Linked DNA regions of Arabidopsis thaliana. The protein of the gene in region 1 interacts with the protein of each later gene in a pairwise test. Each region holds a gene or a part of one and is shown on either strand. Other genes may lie near its edges.

What was found.
Region 2: the proteins of AT5G65300 (region 1) and SKdZeta interact in a two-hybrid assay, tested with the Arabidopsis thaliana proteins (one large-scale study listed by BioGRID).

Annotation. Positions count from the first base shown.
Region 1 is NC_003076.8:26,093,048-26,099,191, forward strand, and holds AT5G65300 (uncharacterized protein), read right to left. Parts: upstream 3,068-6,144; 5' UTR 2,672-3,067; coding exon 2,219-2,671; 3' UTR 2,096-2,218; downstream 1-2,095. Other genes in the region: AT5G65290 (LMBR1-like membrane protein), read left to right, coding at 1-49, 128-209, 316-529, 619-719, 796-1,290.
Region 2 is NC_003071.7:13,179,779-13,188,990, forward strand, and holds SKdZeta (SHAGGY-related protein kinase dZeta), read right to left. Parts: upstream 6,196-9,212; 5' UTR 6,093-6,195; coding exon 5,982-6,092; intron 4,871-5,981; coding exon 4,778-4,870; intron 4,565-4,777; coding exon 4,505-4,564; intron 4,423-4,504; coding exon 4,150-4,422; intron 4,062-4,149; coding exon 3,987-4,061; intron 3,911-3,986; coding exon 3,854-3,910; intron 3,666-3,853; coding exon 3,525-3,665; intron 3,431-3,524; coding exon 3,380-3,430; intron 3,305-3,379; coding exon 3,209-3,304; intron 3,084-3,208; coding exon 3,000-3,083; intron 2,872-2,999; coding exon 2,770-2,871; intron 2,668-2,769; coding exon 2,572-2,667; 3' UTR 2,247-2,571; downstream 1-2,246. Other genes in the region: ASP1 (aspartate aminotransferase 1), read left to right, coding at 46-252, 376-481, 566-670, 768-940, 1,140-1,299, 1,425-1,520, 1,612-1,706, 1,836-1,908; AT2G30985 (uncharacterized protein), read left to right, coding at 7,128-7,286; AT2G30990 (arginine N-methyltransferase, putative (DUF688)), read right to left, coding at 7,998-8,027, 8,139-8,924, 9,018-9,212. UniProt on the Arabidopsis thaliana protein: May mediate extracellular signals to regulate transcription in differentiating cells.

The DNA.
Region 1 (6,144 bases):
CCTTGACTCCTCGACAAACAAGTTCTGTGAATCTGCTAATGATTTGCTCGTAAGTGAATATCTATCCATCATTTTTCTTAAATAAAAAATTTACATGCTTATAGCTGGTTTATATGTATCTCTTTAGGATGATTGCTCGATATGCGCCACCAATATCTTACAATTTTATTAATCTCATTCAACTTCATTCTGAGACTATATTTGAGAAGGTATTTCTTTTTATCTCTCCCTTTGCGCATTTTGTTGTCTTCGAAATCTTAAGAGACATGATATATATGTGCTTCTTTGCAATGTTTTTTTCATTTGGTTCTACAGAAAATGGGTAGAATCGATGATGCTGTCCCGGTCTTTGGACAACGGTTCAATGAGATCTATCCTCTCATAATGGTTATCTACACATTGCTAGTTGCAAGCAATTTCTTCGATCGCATATTTAATTACTTTGGTAGCTGGAAAAGATTTAGATTTCAAACAGAGACCGAAGATACGGACGGATTTGATCCTTCGGGGTTAATGATTCTTAAAAAAGGTAAAAACACTATATTGATCTTTTTCTGCATTGAGATTTGATCCATAACCCTTGTTTTGAATTCATTTTCCATTTATAATAATGGTTAGAACGAACCTGGCTCGAAGAAGGACAAAAAGTCGGCGAGCATGTTCTTCCATTAGCGAGGAACTTCAACGATGTTGACATTGAACCAGGAAGCAATTTCTCTGTAAGTAGTAAAACCCATAACATATAAAAGCGGAGCTCATAGTACTTGTTCCAAATTCTGACTATGATATTTGCAGGAAAATTCTTCTGTTGAAATGAAGATGTCGTCGAGCTATGACATAGACACACTAAAAGGAAGTTCATCAAAAGACGATATGTCCCGTAAATACGGATCAGCTAGAGAAGCAATCACTAACAAATATGCAGCCATTAGAGAACAACAGAACAAACACTCGCCATCTTCTATGACAAAGCCAGAGAACATGGCTTCAGCTAAAGTGTCCTTACTCGAAACAGACAATTCAGGTCCAAGTAACGGTCAAGGATCTGGAGAGCCATCTTCTCGTCTGGCTTCCACATGGCGAAACATGAAACTAGGAATCCAGAGTTTTAAAGAGAATGTAGCTACCAAGAAGTTTCTTCCATTAAGACAAAGCCCAGAAACAACAGCACTAACAAGCACAAGAGTAGTGACTTCATCAGTGCCACAGTCGCTAGATGAGATATTCCAGAGACTTAAAAACCGGTCTGTAGAACACAGCCCCTACCTCGATGATGATGATGAAGTTTGATTATGAAGATGGTGTTCATTAATGATGAAAATTTAAAAGAACTCCATTTTAACACCAGATTTGTTCACCATAGTATATAACAACAATTTTACAAAAAACATCTAATTTGGGAGTTGGAAGGGTCCATTTTTTGTGTTGTAGGTTTTTATATGTTACCTGTTAATGACATGTTATATACTTTTGGATTATATAATACGATATACATAAAGTACTCGGTTCATTTTAAAATCCGTGATGGATTCCATGTTAATACAGATATTAATATATTATAGATGTCTTATATGACAAGCCACTTATATAACACGTAAGTTTTTTTTTTTTTTTGGACAAAATAACACGTAAGTTAAGTCATGAAAAATATACTTTAAGATATGATCAAAAATACTGATTGGGTTTGTCAATCCCAGGAAACTTCATAGCTTTTTTGCTTCTTTGGTCAATATTCGACTAGTAACAAGTTCTTTAACAAGAAATAATAGCACTAATTGGTAGTTTTTTTTTGCCTTTCTAGCCAATATTAACAAAAAATAATATATTATAGATGTCTTATATGACAAGTCACTCATATAACACGTAAGTTAAGCCATGAAAAATATACTTTTAAGATATGATCAAAAATACTGATTGGTTGGTCAATCCCAGGAAACTTCATAGCTTTTTTGCTTCTTTGTTCAATATTCAACTTGTAACAAGTTCTTTTTTTTGTCAATCACAACTTGTAACAAGTTCTTTTTTTTGTCAATCACAACTTGTAACAAGTTCTTTAACAAAAATAATTTGTAGTGTTTTTTGCCTTTCTAGCCAATATTAATCTCCATTTTCATTAATGAGAAATCACTTTCATTATTTTCACCATTTTACTTTCTTAATCTGTAACTGTACACGTCAAAAATAAAAGTTTCAGGAAAAAAAGACTAAAGTCGGTCATTTAATAAACTCGTTGCCGTGAAGTAACAAACCCGCCGACGTCGGCGCCACCGCCTTTCCCTTTAAGATGAAGCAACTTAGTCCAAAACCCAGTCTTCTTCTTAACCGTCGTAGATTTCAATTTCTCCGTCTTCTTCTTCGTCAAATCCCTAACAATATAATCCTTGGGAACATGAGCCATAGATCTGCTTTTCATTAATCCTCCACCTAAAGCTTCGATCAGATTACCATTTAAAGCTTCCCTAACAGCGAAAGACATCGACATCGAACCAGCTCTCCGATGATCCTTCACCGCCGGAGACGACGGAGAAGACGAAACGGTGGTGGATGAAGAAGAAGAAGATCTGTGAACGATGTAATACGACGTAGTATTAGGTAATCGAGAGAGTTTATCTCTTAAACAACAAGGACAAACTCCTCTGTTGCCTTGGTGGTTGTGTTTTCTGCATTCCATTTTTCTATCTTCTTCGTTCTCTTTTTTTTCTTCTTCTTTTTACACTTTGATTTGCTCTCAAAGAGGTTTATGTATGTGTGGGTTATATATATACACACGCATGTGCACGTGTGAAGTATTGCCACGTGGGCTTCAACGTCGGTATAACCAAAGAAAGGTCATTAAGGTTTCGCTATGTTGACAGGGCTTTTCGTAGAAGACGCAGTTATGACGTGTAAAGGACCACTTATATAAAAAAATTAGTCAAATTACTGTTTCTCTTTTCTTTTTACGTTATTAAAAGTGATTGGTTTTTTGCTTTTGATCAATTAAAGAACATAATTTAGAAAATGATTGTTTTATTTTTTTGTCAAACTTAAGAAAATGATTGTTATCTTTATACTGAAAATATCTGAGGAAAAAAATCTAAACAACTGATATTTGTCATATAATGATATTTTTGTAAAGAAAATCTTAATTGATAAAAATCTATATTATTTTATACTAAATGTATGAAAAATATCAATAGATTTGGAATTTAATTTAGTATCTATATAATTTTGGATTTACTTACTTTTTAGTTTTATTTTTATTTCTTAACTTATACAGTTTCATATTTACTTATTTTTAGTTTTCATTTAAAAGAAATTTACAGCTGTTTGCTTTTCTTTTTTCCAAATTTTTTTAAAACAAATCTAACCGGAAGATCCATAGATTTTTGTTATTTAGCAAACAAAAATGTCCCTAGATTCTATGTACAGTTAGTTAACGAAGATTATATGATGGGTGATGTAAGTGAGAGAAGTCACAGGCCGTGACACTAATAACAACTCAATTTTGGTTTCACAATTTCCCGATTCAGACGCGAAATAGGGTCAACAAAAGAAACGCAAATTAAAAGCGTTGATAGCGATGGACGGTTGGGATTTAAACAAACACTCAACATGCTACGGAGCCCACTTGTTAGGTATCATCTGACGGTGACCGTTGGCCGGTGGACTCGGGACTCGCTTCTAACGCGTACCAAATAATAATAAAACACACTCGTGCGCATTCATTTTTTTACTATCTCATAGTATTTTCTTAATTTACGTGACTTTTGATTTTCTGTATATTAATAGTTTCAGTTTTGTTTCTTGAAGAATGGTGCGCCGTATGCTTTCAATTTCGTGTGCACGTGAGAGTGTAGTCAAAAAGAACGACCAAAATTTATGGGAAAACGAAGTTATTGAGAAGAAAATCTAGAAGTTTGTACGGTTCATGATCGTGGGAATGAGTGATGGGATCAGATTACAAAGTAGATCCTCTTGTTTTATAACTTAATTCGGATAAACACTATTTATTCCATGAACCTTTCTTGACATTTAATGATTTACCAATTTTTTTTATTAATATAGTATCTTAAAACATGTTCTATGGACCTCGTGGTGTTGACGAAGCACCAAAAAAATCAATTATAATCTGGTAAAGCCACTTCACTTTTCACGTTAATGTTTCTACGTACATATATTAAATATATAATAAAAGTGATTGTGTTGATAAAAGATGGAATTATATAAGATCTTATGATATACGGAGCAAGTATAATACATTAGTGTTGTGACTTGTAATAGTGATGGGACATGGAAATTACTAAATTAGGCCTTTTGGATAACAGAAGAGGGAGAACATGACGATAATAATAAAAAGAGGGTGAACATAGCTCAAAACCAAGTTAGGCCTTTTGGATAACAGAAGGAGGCCCAAAGAAGCCCAAGTAAATAAAAACAATGCAAAAAGAAATATTGGGGTGAGAGAGGCTCGAACTCTCGACCTCAGGATCACTCACTAGCTATGAGACCTACGCGCTAGCCAACTGCGCCACCACCCCAATGTTGTTGAGTACCGTAATATTATGTATTTTTTACCCCTATTTTCCATAAAAACTGAAACGACCCTTAAGGTACTACTTCTCGCACAGATAAAAGGTACCAAAATTATACACAAGTTTCTAGTATTGTTCAAACGAGATACTTTATGAGTTCCCTTAGATATTATGCATTAAATATCACTTAATTTCACCTTTTAGGGTTAGTTATCCACTTCGTCTGAAATGGACCAACTTGTTACACATTAAATCACACTGTCACATGGAGAACAGCAAGCGACTATTCGAAGATAATGTATGGGTTAAGTCTCTAGTATCTAGACGGGTAAACATGTGGTCTAGTTTTTTCTTCCTTATGCCTCTAACAGTAAGCTGAAAGCGACAAAAATCACATTTAATATATGCAAGCAATTTATGGGACCTGAATTATTCAGCCCTAAATTAAAAAGCACACTAATAAATTACTTGTTTATTACTCAATGATGATCAGTTGTATTTCAAACCAACTCATGATGGTTTAGCTGTTGAGAAATTCACTACAAAATCAAGAGTTCATAGTTTTGAAGCGTATAATTGCAGTTTTGAATGTTTTAATCACAAAGATATCATCCTCATATAGACTTTGATAATTCGTTTATCGTTTGGCTCAAAATTCCATGATTTTGTAAGAAGAAGAAAAAACCAACTATCTTCAATTATCACAAATGTTTTATTTACGGGATCATTTTCGAGCTAGTTCCATATAGCAGCTGCATATTATTTCGGAATTTTACTTTTAGATGCAATCTGAGCCGAGCTGAAATGATTGAGCCGGTGGATCAAAGACCAATTTGGATTAGCGGAGCGCGTGAACTCACAGAGTCTTCTTTATAACTCCGAGGCATATGGAAAGGTTAGTGGTGCTTACGTGGGAGTCAAATTTGGCTGATGGGTGAATCTTGGGTCCCTCTTGGTGACCATGACAAAAGCCAAGCTTGTTTCTTTGTGGAGAGCCCTACAACGTTCCGTTATGGGAGATTTTAGTTTTTATAATTTGCTTGCTAATTGTACACAAACAAAATTACTATTATTTCATGATTTTTCCTTAATTAGATGCTTAAGTTTTGCAACTTCAAAAGAATGGATTATTTGACTACGATTTCAAAATTAACTTTGGAAATCGCCTTCTTGATAACAAATATTTGTGAAATTACATTTCCACATACAAGTTCTTTAACCCAAAGTCCATCACAAATTCAACAAAAATAAAACAAAAACAAAATGGGACATATAACCGGATGATATAACTGACTGGAATTTCCAATTTCACGGAAATGATCGTCAAACAATATTAAATTTCCGGTTACTCCAGCTTTCCGATTAATATAAAAAGTTTATCATGTACTGTATTATACAGTATTATATTTTAAAATAAAAATGTCGAAACAGCATATATCCTATGGGTATAAGTGCACATGCATGGTTGGGAACTTGGGCAGCATCAAGTTGGCATTACACAGAATTCTCGACCAAAATCAGAATCTCTCCTTCTTTATATTTTCTTTTTTTTTAATCTTGTATATGTTTTAAAATCATAATACCAGAACCATAACCTTTATTTAGGAAACGAAAAGACGAGTTATATCTG
Region 2 (9,212 bases), on another chromosome or scaffold:
CACCAGACTGATCTGAGCTGTCTTTATTGTATTAATCATCTAAAGGGAGTACCTTCCTATGGGAGGAAGTGCCAAAATGGTGGACCTAACATTGAAGCTTGCCTATGGGGACAATAGTGAATTTATCAAAGATAAAAGAATTGCTGCAGTTCAGACTCTGTCTGGCACTGGAGCCTGCCGGCTCTTTGCAGACTTCCAGAAACGTTTTTCTCCTGGTTCACAGATCTACATTCCTGTTCCAACCTGGTCCAAGTGAGTTTCCTACAGTTGATTTGATCATTTCTCATGTTAACCTCAACGGTCTACTTTGTAAGTGTGGCCAAGCTTCTTTTGCTTCCCAAAAATAACATGGTTTATGTTTTCTCTTATGAATAGCCACCACAACATCTGGAAAGATGCACAAGTCCCTCAAAAGACATATCATTACTATCATCCAGAAACCAAGGGCTTGGATTTCTCAGCATTGATGGATGATGTGAAGGTTAGCAAAGAACATCTTCTTCAACTAGCATCTTTTTTACTTCTTCTTGTTAACATCCTAATTCTGTTAAGCCTTTTTCCATAGAATGCTCCGGAAGGGTCATTCTTCCTTCTTCATGCTTGTGCTCATAATCCTACTGGAGTAGACCCTACAGAGGAACAATGGAGAGAGATATCACAGCTATTCAAGGTGATAACTCATCAGTTTCTTATAGTTATCTGTCTATCATTGACTTTATTTCTCCTTGATCAGCCCTCTGCAGACTAACATCGAGTTCTCATTTCAGGCTAAAAAGCATTTCGCATTCTTCGATATGGCTTACCAAGGTTTTGCTAGTGGAGATCCAGCGAGAGATGCCAAGTCCATCAGGATCTTTCTTGAAGATGGTCATCATATTGGAATTTCTCAGTCCTATGCAAAAAACATGGGACTCTACGGCCAGAGGGTGGGATGTCTCAGGTATTCATTTTTCTCAACAAAGAACATCGTTTTCTTCCTACACGAAGGAAAATATGGAAATTAGAAAGTACAGATATCAGCATTTTAAAAATTTGGATTGTAGGCGTCAACAAATTGTATGAAATAGCCATCATACAGGTTCATTTAGTGATGAAGTAAAAACTGAATATGAACATGACAACTTTGTCTTCTACTGCAGTGTGCTTTGTGAAGATCCGAAGCAAGCCGTGGCTGTGAAAAGTCAATTGCAGCAGCTAGCTAGACCAATGTACAGCAACCCACCTTTGCATGGTGCTCAGCTGGTCTCAACCATTCTTGAAGACCCAGAGTTAAAGAGTCTGTGGCTAAAAGAAGTTAAGGTAACATTTATGAAAAAATGCTAATTCTTTCATTCAATTACCTTATATCCCATGTTCACTCTTTTATGTTTAGTAATCAACTATGGAATTAAAATCTGATAAGCCATATGTAAAATCTGTAACAGGTCATGGCTGATAGGATCATCGGCATGAGAACTACTTTGCGAGAAAGCCTTGAGAAGTTAGGATCGCCTTTGTCATGGGAGCACGTTACCAAACAGGTAACTACAACAACAAAATAGGCTTCTTTTGTGAAATTCTTGTTATTTCTCTCCTTTGACTCACACAGTCATATCTTTATGGTGATAACAGATTGGAATGTTCTGCTACAGTGGGTTAACACCAGAACAGGTTGACCGCTTAACAAGCGAATATCACATCTATATGACCCGTAACGGCCGTATCAGGTACTTCACTTTCTCCTGATTAGAAATCTTTCAGCTCACATTCAATGCAATCCATTTCCTAACATCAACATGCTTAATTTCAATGCAAGCCATTTCCTAATCATTGAGGCTCTTGATGTTTGGTTGCAGTATGGCTGGTGTTACAACAGGAAACGTGGGATACCTTGCGAATGCTATACATGAAGTCACCAAGTCATCTTAAATCATTTACTTACATGTTTCAGCCAAACATACAAATTTTGTTTGAAGAGTCAATAAGACAGGAGGCTAGATTTGTACTTCTGCAATTGGTTTTGTGGGAACTGAAAGTTTACCCATAAACAGTAATTTATTAGCGCATTTTTTCGTTAGCTGGGCAATAAAAGCAAAGCCTAAACGATGGATTTTTGGATATACAAAATTCGGATTGTTTTCTTTCTTCTCAATTGCTCTTTTTGTGCTTGTTTCCTTTCAACGTTACAATGCCAATGCTGGCAAAATTTTATCCTCAAGCTCATTGATTTCAAATGTTTTTAGTTTTTACTTTTACCGTAGGCAACTTTAGATTATCATGATTTCATTTCATCATTTCGGTTATTTGACTTGCAGTTTGGAATCGATTTTGTTTCATTTCAAGGACAAAAACATATACAAATACTGATACAGGAGAAAAGTATCTCTCTACAAGTCAGTGAACAAAAAGAATATAATAGGACACAATCATCGCCTCCTGATTTCTCAAAAAGCTGAATTGGCCACGTCTAAGGAGGAGACATCATCTCTTCTCAGAAGCTGATACTTAGTTAATCAGAGAGAAGTAAATCTCCCTCTCCTTCATTCCATAAGGCGGCATTTTGCTCTGGAAAAGCATCTCGAGATCGCTTTTCTAGGGTCCAGCTTGAAATGGAAAGCCACCATTCATCTGTCGCCTCACATGCTCTGGTATTAGCCTGTTGATAAGCTCCGGTGAAGCCCCAGACAACTGTTTCAATAGTCAAAGAGAGAGCTAACAGATTGAGTAACTGTATGCACATTCAGTTATGTTTGGTTGAAGGAAAAGTGATTTTGGAATGGTTTAACATACCTCTTGTTTGAAGTTGAACAACGGTGGTAGAGGTCGGCCATTTGGAAGACGAGCATTTGGCTCACGGAGTTCATTGAAAAACGGATGCGCACATGCCTCGAGCTTCAGACGGCAAACAAACAAGTCAGTTGAAAAACAACATTTCACTCCTTCATTGAACAGTGTATGGTCCAAAGAAGCCAGAGAGAACCACTGTAACAATTAAGAGTACTTGGTTTAGAAATACCAACCGCAGTGCAACGTAGACTTGGTGAGTATTGAAGAAGCCGAGATGCAAGGTCAATGGCTTCCGGAGGCATCCGCTTGTGGAAAACCTGGAGGTCATAGAGCAGTTGTGCACCGTGTTAGCTTCTTTTCCATGAATGTTGTTTAGGTAGAGAAGTAAGCAATTGTATGATTAGAAAGAAGTTCGAAAGTGACATGCATATATATATATTACCTTATGCCAAGGGTGGGCTTTGATTTGTGGGAATCTGAAGTCTGTGTAGTTTGGGTTCATGCACCGGATTTCTTCGCGAGTTGGAGTACCAAGAACCTAAACCAACACAGCACATCATGAGCACAGACAGGAAATGACGCCAAAACAAAATATAATAAAAGAAGAGTTCACCTTTATGATCTCCACTAGCTGGTCCACAGAATTTTCTCCCGGGAATAACGGCTGTGAAGATAAATAATACCACATTGTTTACAGAAGATTTTGGAGAGATGCTTTAGTTCTCAAGATACTCAACAGGTTAGAAATTTACACTAACCTGCCCAAGAAGTAGCTCTGCCAGAACACAACCAGCAGACCATATATCAATGGATGATGTATACTCTGTGGCACCAAAGATGAGTTCTGGAGCTCGGTAATACCGAGAGCAGATATATGATATGTTTGCTTCACCTTTCACCTAATATAAAAAGCCAAATGTTGCAAATATCAGGCTAACAGAGAAATATCTGAAACTGCATCCATACTTATGTAAATTACTTGCATAATATTCACTTAATTGGAGTTTTTAACTACTGCATGCAAAGACACAAGCACAGTGGAAAAGACAAACAACAAATGGGGTAAATAAAAGTCTAAACCTCTTACCAGTACTTTTGCACTTCCAAAATCACAGAGCTTACACTGATGGGTGAGGGGATCAACCTACAGAACATACAGAGAATAAGATTACAATCTAGTCAAGGTTACCAAAGACAAAACCCACAATAGATCAACGTACCAAAAGATTTTGTGGTTTCACATCTCTGTGGCAGACACCAGGAGCAGTATGGATATAAGCCAAGCCTCTGAAGATCTGCACAACATATTTTATAAACAGTTTTAGGATAAACACAACAGAGTAAAGAGTATTTATTGGGGAAAGAGTAGATAACAATGCATACTTGGTATGTGTAAAGTTTGACATAGAAGATAGGCATCCGCTGGTTTGAACTAGTATAGTGCTTCAAAACCCGGTACAATGTCTCTGGTACATACTCCATAACGAGATTGAGGAAGAGCTCATCTCTAGTCGTTGTAGAGAAGAAACAATGCTTCAAGGAAACCACATTTGGATGGTCCATTAGTCGCATTAATTGCAACTCTCGGTTTTTATAACGGCGATCTTGCAAAACCTTCTTAATGGCTACTGATTCTCCAGTTTCCAAGCATTTTGCCTAGAATGGTAAGTTAACAATCTGATCAGAAAGGAAAGACAAAAAGCCATTTGCCTGTAGACAGTGACAAGCACAATGATACCTGGAATACAATTCCGAATGATCCTGTTCCAACAACACGTTCGGCCATGTAACTAATGGTCTGTAAAGGCCAGAGGGATGAAAACATTAGAGAGTAGAACTTAGAGTTGGAAAAAAGGAGCCACAAAGTCAAAAGATGTAAAAACCTATTTATTTATTTGTTGAATTTCTATAGATTAATCCAAACCTTAGGTAACCTTATACATGGTAGTGTGCTCGAGCAATAACTATGATTTAAATCATTACAAAGATTTAATAAACAACAGAATCCAACCTGTTTAGGTTCACCATTTTTGCCTCCAATTGTAGTAGAAATTATGTGACCGGTAACAGCATCATTTCCTTCTATAACAGCAGCAGACATTTCCTAAAATCAAACGTGAACATATTATTACAGGAGTTAAAACTATTCTTGTCTACAAAGAATGAAGGAAAGTAGTAACAATTAGTGTTTCCTCCGATGTATATTGATTGAATAGACAAATAATTCAAAATATTCGAATCGTTTTTCAATCAGTTCTATCAAGTGTATGAAATCTTCCAGAATATAAACTTTCCTTTAAAATAGCATTCAAATCTAAGAACAGTCAATGCCCAATTTACAGAGAATTCAATCATGTAAGATAACTAAATGTAAATCTAAATGATGTCGCAAGTTCCTGTTGACCAGAGGCTAACAAAATTCAGAAAACAAATGCATACTACTATACTAGTTGTTACAGGTAAAGGAAAGCTAAAAAATGATAACTGTAACTTCAAGAGTAGAGAAAGATTAAGATGTCAACCATTTTGTGGACATAAGAAACTTGTACAAAATCAAAAGATACAATCAGACACAACATGGAACAGACACTGTCAGGTGGAGAAACAAAGCAAAAGAACATAAAACAAAAGAAAAGAGTTCAGAATCAATACAGAATGGGCCAAGAATCATATAATCTAAACGAATACTCCAAAAACTGTCAGGAAAAAGAAGAAAAAAAACTCGAAGATACACAAGTACTTTGTGAAGTCAAAAGTGTTAAATTTAACACCCAAACTATGAGGTTACTTCTTTAGGGTTCAAAGGGTTATTACTAGAAAATTTCTGTTATTTACCCTAATTTCTTCTTTAGGGTTCGAAGGTTTACTGCTACTAATCAAAAACAGCTCAAGAGATCAATCTTCACTACAAAAAAGGTTGAAAATTTCAGCTGAAGAAAAGTAAAACTAGCTACTATGAAGTCAAAATGCACAATCTTCAATGAGCTCAAATCAAGAACGCTGACTAAAAAGGAACACAGATCGATTGACTAACACATCGAAACAAGCAAAATCCGAGCTAGATCTAGAAAACCCACAAAACGAAAATTGAAATACATTGTTCACGAAAGAATCAATCAGAGAGAGAGAGAGAGAGAGAGAGAGAGAGAGAGAGAGAGAGAGAGAGAGAGAGATACACACAAACGTTTCAAGTTATAAGAGAAGAAAAAACTAACCTTGTCGTTGTCTATATCGGGACGACGTTTCAAAGAATCTCCGCCGTGAAGATGCGGCGGCTGAGGAGCTAAAGACGGAGGCTGAGGAGGCCCCAATGGTATCGAAGTCATGTGCTTTTACAGCTCTAACTTCTCTCTCTCACTGAAAGAGTAAAGACTATTTTGTTCTCTCTCTATTACCTGGTGTTCTGTCTAAACTTGAGAAAATTTTTAAAGATAAAGAGGAAACCCACGCGTAAGTTTAGCGCGTGATTCTTACGCTCCAATGAAACACTAATCTGTTTATTAAGTAGTCATTATTTAATAAGCACAGTGATTGGTGAAGTGAAAAGTCTGATAACTCCGTAATAATACCATAATGCAATTTATTGTGGAGATTACTACATTCACACAATCAGATAATTTGGGTAAACTAACAACAACTACTCTCTTTCAGATTAATAGTTGTTTTGGAGTTTTACCACAATTTTAAAAACTCTTTAATCTATCTACTAATATAAATTGTTTACAGTATTCATTCTAGTTTTTTTAACAGTTTTTATTCGCTATCGGTAAACTCTTTGAATGGAAAAATATTGGCTTACGTTACGTATGTGTTTTCTGAATCTTGAATCTTCTAAGTTTTTGTCATTTTAGAAAAAAAATTGGTGTTCTCTGGAGCCAGATGGCTACATATTTGACTTTTAATATTTGGTCCAATTTAAAGGATGGATAAAAGTCTTAGAATAAGGGGAGTGGACTTAGCACATGGACGAATGACGATCATAATCAATTTCTTGGAACATTTTGTTTAATAATAACTCGCTATTTGGATTCCAACGACCAACACTATGGACAAATAACATCAAAACAATGTTAAAATATATACATACAAAAACTATGATTGAGATATATTTTTCTCTTGTATACATCATGACATGATATATTTACGTCGAAATTTTCTTTTAACATGATATGGTGATAAAATTATTCATTAAGATGATTAGTTTGTGCAGAAAAAATACAAACGATGGAACTATTAAAGTAGAATGAAACTGATAGTAGGATGATGCAAGAATCGGATCCGATCATACTAATATCAAATAGATATTTGATTTTACTTTAGCATAACGATAATAAGATTAGGCACATGTTGTTCTTTAGGTAATGCCTAGATGTTCTAAGCAAATTGGTCATAAATTCAAATACGTACGGAAACAGTACCCAAGTGATATATCTACTTATCTAGCAACCCCCTCCTCCTCCACCACCATCACCACTGCAACCGCCAAAAACGCCACCTTTACAGCAGCAACAGCAACTTGAATCCTTCTTCTTTTCCTTCTTTTTGGAGCAAGCAAATACGGCCATGGTTACAAGTAACAACGACAGAAGAAACATGAAAATCAAGAACAAAACACCCCCAAAAGCAGCAGCTTCTTTCATGTCAAACTAACTGATAAAGAAACCTCTCACTCTCTCTCTATATTGTTTTTTAAATTTCTCTTCACTCATATATTTGCATGTGATCTTCCATGCCACTATATATATAAAGAGAATAAGAGATGAAATGTGAACATTTTCACACCAATATTGTTTCAATAATTCCTCTAGTGACTAATTTAGTCAAGGTATTCAATTCAATTCAATTCTGCAGCTTTCAAGTTTCCTTTCTAGTGAGCTCTATATTTTGAAACCATAATTACAAAAGAACGAAAAAAAAAAGTCTATTAGTAGAGAATAAAGAAGCAGTGTCACATGGAATTATTGCCATGAAATCTCCGTTAACATGAGCTGTACATCACTTCAACAAGAAACCTCTCCTTAAGTGCCAGACAATATTTAAGACATTTATCTCCATTGCTTTCTCTTTATCATGGAATCTTTTTGATTCAGATTTACACAAATAGTTAAAGACAAAATACCCAAACTTTATTGGCTCATCCCTTCTTTATTGTTGAAAATTTACATGTAATTTGGTGTGAAAAATTTTACAGTTTCTTCATTACCACCAGTGAGAATTTTGTTTTGGTCTTGCTATGACTCTGGTATAGGGTTTAGTGTTTCCTGAAAGAACAAAACAGGATCAACAAGTATTAACACATTTTGCCAAGCATTGACTTTGAAAATTAAGACACATTTGTGAAAGTATTGGACGTTTCTTTTTTTTTTTTTTACCTTGGAGAAGCACACAAACCCTTGCTGTGTATTGGACGTTTTGACCATAGTTTCCCACTTTGGATTAGCTTGAGTCTTGGTAAAGTGATTATCATCATCAGTGCCAAGAGACTGTAACCATGCGAATGAGTTGTTTTTTGGTGGTATTGTTGGTAATGTACGCTTTAACCAAGAATCTGAAGGAGCTTTTGGTAATGGTGGTGGAGGAACAATGAGATAACTTGAACGATGATGAAGCCTTGAACTTTCAATATTTGTTGTGATTACTTGCAACTGAACTTCAAGATCAATCTTCTTCTCCTTTGTAATCTCTACCACATCGGATTCTGGCAGTGCAACAATAGCTTGATGATCAGGACATTCTTCAACTTTCTGACTTGAGAATTTAGTGAAATCCTCATCTCTGTTACCATTCTCTTGCTCAATGCTTTTAGGCTGCGAGATATCAGCTTCTTCATCTTTTACAGGAACAATGTCTAGTGAAGGAGACTCTTTCAATATAGGCTGCTTCTTGGACTCTTCTTGTACCTTCTTATCTACTAGATGCACAATGTCTACATACAGAGTTTTCTCTGCCACAGGAGTCTCGGATGAAGGTTCCCATGTATTCTCATCACTAGCCAAGAGCTCACCAAAGTTTTTACTGATTTTACTGCGTGAAGCGGTGCCAACGTTCTCGAGTTTCTCTTTTCCTTGTGGTATAGAAGATACTGATAATGACTCACCTTGAGAAGACCCTTTTGCAACTGATTCAATTAGCTTCAACTTCCTCTTATCTTCATTTTGCTATAGAGAGAAAAATATAAAAGAAATTTGATGAGAGAAAAGGTCTCAGTGTAATGATGAACGAGGTGGCGAGAAGGAGAGGGAATCAATTACCTTGTTATGAGTTTCATTAGAAGGTGCAGAATCTTGGTACTTAGACCGCATACGACGAACAGAAACAGCTCTTTGTTGCTGCATTCTCACAGATGGAACCGGATTCAATAGTCCCAAAGAGCTTCTCAAGCAGAGTTGAGGGAGTAATCCACAAACACCAGACGCCATCATGCTGCTTATATTTCCATCTTCCTC